Oryctolagus cuniculus: one gene and its partner. The protein of the gene in region 1 interacts with the protein of each later gene in a pairwise test. Links are inferred from orthologs where the notes say so. Each region holds a gene or a part of one and is shown in the gene's direction. Other genes may lie near its edges.

Region 1 (3,745 bases):
AGCAAAGGCATGGACGGGCCATGGGTCACTGGGGAGCTGTGACCCCGGGAGTGGCCGCGGGTCACTGGGGAGCTGAGACCCGGGAATGGCCGTGGTCACTGGGGAGCTGAGACCCGGGAATGGCCGTGGTCACTGGGGAGCTGAGACCCGGGTCACTGGGGAGCTGAGACCCGGAGTGGCCGCGGTCACTGGGGAGCTGAGACCCGGGAATGGCCGTGGTCACTGGGGAGCTGAGACCCGGGTCACTGGGGAGCTGAGACCCGGGAGTGGCCGCAGTCACTGGGGAGCTGAGGCCCGGGAGTGGCCGCGGGGAAGGACGGGACCAGGGCAGGGCAGAGGCCGGGGCCCGCGCTCACCTCCTGCTCCGAGTCTGTGCCCGACAGCTTCTTGTCTTTGCCTTTGCTCCCCACGCCTCCGTTCTTGCGGCCGCCGCTGCCCGGCTTCCGGCCCCTTGGGGGAGGCACGGTCCGTGTGCCCAGAGGTCCCCCGCCGCCGCCCGCCGCCGCCCGCCGCCGCCCGCCCCCGCGGCCCCGGCCCGCACCTGCGAGGCGCCTTGTCCGCATCCATGTGGTTGTCGTCCCCGTCGCCCTGCATGTCGGGGACCGACGCCACCAGGTCCTTGAGGAAGTCAAACTGTTGCTCCTGCTCGATGCACTGCTTCCTGCGGGAGGCGGCGGACCGGGGGTGACGCCGCGGCCGGGCCGCCCCCCGCAGCCGCCCGCCGCCCTCCCCCGGCGCCGGGGCCACGCACAGGTGCGACGTGGTCATGGTCTTGGCGTTGCGGGACTGGGTCACCTGGCACGCTTTCTTCAACAGCGACTCGAGGAACAGCTCGAGCGCCCGGGCTGGGGGGCGTCAAGGAGCACGCGGGCGCCGGGCGGCCGCCCCCCGCCCGCACACGCCCCCCGCCCGGCGCCCCCAAGGATACAGATGATGACCGGCACGGCCGCCGCCACCTTCCCGATCTCCTCGTCCGTCTGCATGATCTTCTTGATGCGCGCCTGCGGGGCGGACAGCGCTCGGACCCCCTCCGCCCGCTGCGGCGGGTGGGGGTCCCGGGAGAAAGGGGGCGGGGCGCCAAGCCCCCACCACCACCACGAGCACCGCGATGCGCCCGCCCCCCACACCCCCGCGGCGGGGCCCGGACCCTGAGCCTCCGCCGCGCCGGGCCCCGCCACGTGCTCACCGGCGGGAACCGCGCGTTGTACTTCTTCTTCTTGCTCGGCATCTCCGGGCCTCTCTCGCCGCGCCGGGCCCCGCGCCGCCGCCCGCAGCCTCCGGGCGCCCGGGCCTGCTCGCCGCCGGCCCGCCGCGGTTCCCCCGGGTCCTGGCGCCGCCGCTCCCCGGCAGGGTCCTAGCGCCGCCCGCTCAACGCCGCTCGCTGCGCCCAAGCGCCCGCCCCCCTGGCGTCTCCCAGGCGTCTCCCGTCTCCGCCGCTCCCGCCCGCCCCAAGGCCCCAGCTGCGAACGTTAGCCCCGCCCCCGCAGGCCCGCCCCGCCCCGGGGTCGGCCCCGCCCCCGCAGCGCCGGCCCCGCCCCGCAGCGCGGCGGATGCGGCGCGGCGGCCCCGCCCCTGTGGCCGCGCTTGTCTATAAAGTTGTTGTTGAGACGGCGGGGCGCTAAGATGGCGGCGGCGGCGGCCGTGGCGGGGGCGGGGCGCGGCGGCGGCGCGGAGCCCCGGCAGGAGCGGAACCGGACCCGGAGCTGGGCCGGCGCGGAACGCAGCGAAGGCCGGAGGTGACTGCGGGGCGGCGAGCGGGGCGGGCCCGGGGCAGAGCCCCGACTCGGGCGGTGGGCGCGTCGGCCCCTCCGGCTGGCCGGACAGGCCCGGGTTCGAGTCCTAGCACTGCCCCGTTCGTCTCCGACCGGTCACTGCCGTCTGGGGGCCTCGAGGTCCTCGCCTCGAAGTGGGCCCGGTAACGCCCCCAGGGAGGCCCGGCCTTCCAGGGCCCGCCGCGGGGGCTGCGTGAACCTCCTCTTCCCTGCCTCTCCCTCCACGCCCGGCCCCGCTGGCCGGGGGTAGCTGAGGCCGGAGCTCCCGCACCTGCGTTCCTGCGTGGGCCCTGCCCCTTGCCCTGCAACCGGTGTGCTGCGGGAGCGCCAAGGGGAGTAGTAGCGCCCCCGGCACCGAGGCTCAGGTAGGCGTTCTCCACCTGGGGCATCTGATTGTCCCAGCAGAGCCAGCAGCTGTCCCATTGTAGAGACGAGGCAACCGAGGCCGGCCACACGGTTTAGCGCGGCGCTGCTCTGACGGGGTTCCCTCCCGGCAGGATGGAGCCAGGTGAGGAGCTGGAGGAGGAGGACTCTCCCGGCGGCCGGGAGGACGGCTTCACCGCGGAGCACCTGGCTGCTGAGGCCATGGCCGCCGACATGGACCCCTGGCTGGTGTTCGATGCCCGCACCGCGCCTGCGGCCGAGCTGGATGCCTGGCTGGCCAAGTACCCGCCGTCGCAAGTCACCCGCTACGGGGACCCCGGGTCGCCCAACGCCGAGCCCGTGGGCTGGATCGCCGTGTACGGGCAGGGCTACACCCCCAACTCCGGCGACGTGCAGGGGCTGCAGGCGGCCTGGGAGGCTCTGCAGAGCAGCGGCCGGCCTGTCACGCCGGGCACCCTGCGCCAGCTCGCCATCGCCCACCGCGTGCTGTCGGGGAAGTGGCTGATGCACCTGAGCCCTGGCTTCAAGCTGGACCACGCCTGGGCCGGCGTCGCCCGGGCCGTCGTGGAGGGCCGGCTGCAGGTGGCGAAGGTGAGCCCGCGCGCCAAGGAGGGGGGGCGCCAGGTGATCTGCGTCTACACGGACGACTTCACGGACCGCTTGGGCGTCCTGGAGGCGGATTCGGCCATCCGCGCGGCGGGCATCAAGTGCCTGCTCACCTACAAGCCCGATGTGTACACCTACCTGGGCATCTACCGCGCCAACCGCTGGCACCTGTGCCCCACGCTCTACGAGAGCCGCTTCCAGCTCGGGGGCGGGGCCCGCGGCTCCCGCGTGCTGGACCGCGCCAACAACGTGGAGCTGACCTAGCGGGGTGACCACGCCCTGGCCTCCCCCGCCCGGGCGGCCCGGCCTCGTCCTCCTTGTCCCGAGAAAGCCACGCCCCCAGCTCTGAGGACAAGGTCGCCCAACAACCGCCTGCATCTCCGGTCCCCTTGGACTTGTGCCCTGGCTGCCGCCGGCCCCCAGGGGGCGGGCCTGGGCCTCCCTCTTCCTCGCAGCTCCGCCCTGCAGCCCAGGGCCACGGGGTGGGTGCAGACACCCAAGAAGAGAGCCCCGCCGCACCTCCCCTCCGCCTGCACTCGCCAGCTCTCCTTCCCCCCTCTCACGGGGAACACAGTGCTTCCAGTCCCGCCCCGTGGAGCCTCTAGTGCGGGGGCCAGGGCCCGCAGGCGTGAGCGTGCCATTTAGCCAGGAGGGTCCTTGCGCCCACATCCCCGGGCAGAGAGGGGATGTGCACCACGGACACGGCCCGCCCCCTCTGCCACCTCCCTCTCTTCCCAGCTACCAGACACGTGCCTGCTCCTGGCATCTCAATAAAACCCAGCCTGGGTCTGTGTCCTGAGTGTTTTTCCAAAACCTGGGTGGTTACCTGCTGTGGTTGCTGGGAGCGGCGGGGCCAGGACACACACACCCCCCACCCGCACATACCCAGCTGGCCGCCTTCCCGCCCGCCCCCTCCTGCACCCCGTTGACGCGGTAGGCCTTGGTGCCGGGCCCTGGCTCCCCCGGGAGCCCCAGCGGAGCAG
Region 2 (3,745 bases), on another chromosome or scaffold:
TGTAACTGCCTTTCAAATAAATAAATAAATCTTAAAAAAAAAAAAAAGAATTGGAATACTACCAGTGCTTTGCTTTCATCTATTTGAGCCCCTCCTATCTTTCTCCACCCCCTGCTCCCTTTAGTAGTTTTATCACATGTAAAAAGGCCTAGAATATTTATCCCTAAAGTGACTTTTCTTTTTTAGTTTTGTTCCTTTTTGAACTTTATAAAAATGGTGTGTTTTTTTGTAGTATAGGAATATGATTTTTTTCATTCAATTTTAAGATTCATACATTTTTGTTGTAGACAACCATCATTCATTCATTTTCACCAGTATATATTTCATTGTGTGATTATAAAATTCATTGCTCAGATACATAGGTAATGACATTTTTGAAAATTCTTGCTACTATATGACAACTAATTTTTGGCTGGCGCCGTGGCTCCCTAGGCTAATCCTCCACCTAGCAGTGCCGGCACAATGGGTTCTAGTCCAGGTTGGGGCGCTGGATTCTGTCCCGGTTGCCCCTCTTCCAGGCCAGATCTCTGCTGTGGCCCGGGAGTGCAGTGGAGGATGGCCCAAGTCCTTGGGCCCTGCACCCCATGGGAGACCAGGAGAAGCACCTGGCTCCTGCCATCGGATCAGCGCGGTGCGCCGGCCGCAGCGCGCCAGCCGCAGCGGCCATTGGAGGGTGAACTAACAGCAAAAGAAGACCTTTCTCTCTGTCTCTCTCTTTCACTGTCCACTCTGCCTGTCAAAAAAAAATAATAAAATAAATAGAAAATTCTTGCTACTGTATGACAACTAATTTTTAATTGTTCACCCACTTCATCTGTACTACATACATACCTATCTGTGTCATACACTAATATGACAACTAATTGACCTACTTCATCTGTGTTACACATGTTTATAAGCTGTCATGTTTCCTATTTCGCTGGAAAGTCTGATGGCAACTTTCAGAATGAACTGATGAGTTTTATCTACTGTTATTCATAGTGGAATGTGGATGATGCCTTTTCTTTTATCACTCTCCAAAACCTGCTAAAGGAGGCAGAATTTTCAGAGCTTCAAATAACTTCACTCAGCAGTTCAGGGAGCCTGAAAATATCTGTGGAATTAATGGTTGAGTTTCTGTATGTTATCCTAGAAATGTTTTTATTTATTTATTTATTTATTTATTTGACAGAGTGGATAGTGAGAGAGAGAGAGACAGGAAAAAGGTCTTCCTTTTTGCCGTTGGTTCACCCTCCAATGGCCGCTGTGGCCAGTGCGCTGCGGCCGGCGCATTGCGCTGATCCGAAGCCAGGAGGAGGTGCTTCTCCTGGTCTCCCATGCGGGTGCAAGGCCCAAGGACTTGGGCCATCCTCCACTGCACTCCCGGGCCATAGCAGAGAGCTGGCCTGGAAGAGGGGCAACGGGGACAGAATCCGGCGCCCCGACCGGGACTAGAAACCGGTGTGCCGGTGCCACAGGTGGAGGATTAGCCTAGTGAGCCGCGGCGCCGGCCTTTTATTTCATTTTTTAACATCACTCAAGTTGGAATGTCTGAGATTGTGATGTGGTTAATTGTGAGCATAAGCAAACTTGGTTTGCATTCCTGGGGTATGACTGGACAAAGGCAATCTCAGTCAACAAACTAAGGAGCGTTTGAAAAAGGAATCCAGGTTTTGGCTGTTTCTGTGCATTTTTCATGAAAAACTTATATGATCAGGAGAGTGCCAATATAAAAATTTGGAGTATGGCCATGTTCATTTTTACTACCATCTAACAAGTTAGTACAAGTTTAGCAGTTTAGAACAACACTCATCCATTTATTATCTCACAGTTCTGTAGGCTGGAAGTCCCTACAGGGATCAAATGAGTTCTGTCAGCCTCACAGGGCTGAAATCAAGGTGTTGGACAAGGCTTTCATCTTTTCTGAGGCTCTGAGCCCCCTTCAAAACTCATGAATATTGAAAAACTCATTTTCTTTTTTTTTTCAAGTAGGACAACTCAGTCCACCTGATTTTTTTTTTAATTAATTTATTTGACAGATAGAGTTAGAGAGAGAGAGACCAAGAGAAAGGTCTTTCCTCTGTTGGTTCATCCCCCAAATGGCTGCTATGGCCAGAGCTACGCCAGTCCGAAGCCAGGAGCCAGGTGCTTCTTCCTGGTCTCCCACACAGGTACAGGGGCCCAAGCACTTGGGCCATCCTCCACTGCCCTTCTGGGCCACAGCAGAGAGCTGGACTGGAAGAGGAGCAACTGGGACTAGAACCTGGCACCAATATGAGATGCCAGCACTGCAGGCGGAGGATTAACCAAATGAGCCACGACGCCGGCCCCGAAAAAACTCATTTTCTTGTGCCTGTGGAACTCACAAAGACTGTCTCCAAGACCAACAGAGACCATCTGTGTGAATTCTCTTGTCTTCCACCTTTTTTCTCTCTTTTGCGAACACACCTGATTGAGTCAGGCCTAGCCAGAATAATCTTGACTAAGACAACTAGAGATCTTAATTATATCTGTAGTGATTCCTTTACTTTAAAAGAGTGATGTTTTCTTATATTCATAGGTCCCACCCATGTTCAAGAGGGATTGAAACAGCATCTATACCAGGCAGTGGGAATCTGGTGGCCATTGGAGAAATTTTGCCTACTTCAATGGCTTTTCACAGCTTGAAATAAAACCCTAGAAACAATAAAGCACCCTTTGAGGAAGTGGTGCAGCACAAATGTTGGTGGTCCAATAACAGTTCTACGTGGCAAAAGAGATTCGGCAAGATCCAGCAATAGATGCTAAAACCAGTGGACTAAACTTGAAGCCCAAGGGCTGGTGTTGTGGCATTGTGGGCTAAGCCTCCACTTGGAATGACATCATCCAATATTGGTGCACCACTTCCATTCCTGGCTGCTCCACTTCCCATCCAGCTCCTGTTATGTGCCTGGGAAGGCAGTGGAGAGTGGCTCAAGTATTGGGTCCCTGCCATCCATGTGGGAGACCAAATGGGGTTCCTGGCTCCTGGCTTCCGCCTGGCCCAAAGCTGACTGTTACAGCCATTTGGAGAGTGAACCAGCTGACAGAAGATCTCTGTCTCTCCCTCTGTTGCTCTGCCTTTCAAATTAGTACTTTAAAAAAAAAAAAGTAAAGTTTAAGCAGAAATGGGATATTTGCATAGTTTCTTTGTGTATTAGCTTCCTATGGTTGCCATAAGCAGGTGTCACAAACTGTGGTTTAAACCAACAGAAATTTGAGGAAGACATGTGGCTCAGCAATTTAAACTGCAAGAGATGCCTGCATCCCATATTGGAGTGATAGTTGGAGTCTCAGCTACTTGATACTGCCGATCCAGCTTCCTGGGAATGTGCTGGGGAGCCAGTGGATGCTGGCCAAGTACTTGGGCCCCTGCCACCCATGTGGGAGACCTGGATAGAGTTCCTGGTATTGACTTTGGCCTGGCCTTCTGCCAGCTGTTGAGGGCACTTTGAGATTCTGTTTCTCCCTGCCCTCTCTAACTCTGCCTTTCAAACAAATAAATTGTTTTTTAAAAGCAAACATATTTCCTCATAGACCTGAAGGCTAAGTCTGAAATAAAAAGTGTTGATTCCTCATGAAGGCTCTGAGGGAGAATGTGTTCCATGCCCCTATTCCAGTTTCTGGGGTTGCTGGCAATTCTTGGCATTCCATGACTTTTTTTTTTTTTTTTTTTTTTGACAGGCAGAGTGGACAGTGAAAAAGAGAGAGAGACAGGAGAAAGGTCTTCCTTCTACCGTTGGTTCAC

What was found. The genes of interacting proteins can lie anywhere in the genome.
Region 2: the proteins of C1H11orf68 (region 1) and CSDE1 interact in a two-hybrid assay, tested with the Homo sapiens proteins (2 studies listed by BioGRID and IntAct). The link is inferred for Oryctolagus cuniculus from reciprocal best matches to the Homo sapiens genes C11orf68 and CSDE1.

The regions. Positions count from the first base shown.
Region 1 is NC_091432.1:5,855,930-5,859,674, forward strand, and holds C1H11orf68 (UPF0696 protein C11orf68 homolog), read left to right. Parts: upstream 1-1,545; 5' UTR 1,546-1,623; coding exon 1,624-1,736; intron 1,737-2,177; exon of another isoform or gene 2,178-2,269; coding exon 2,270-3,026; 3' UTR 3,027-3,553; downstream 3,554-3,745. Other genes in the region: DRAP1 (dr1-associated corepressor), read right to left, coding at 357-450, 542-661, 752-845, 929-1,001, 1,187-1,228.
Region 2 is NC_091438.1:55,577,291-55,581,035, forward strand, and holds the start of CSDE1 (cold shock domain-containing protein E1), read left to right. Parts: upstream 1-1,142; 5' UTR 1,143-3,745. UniProt on the Homo sapiens protein: RNA-binding protein involved in translationally coupled mRNA turnover.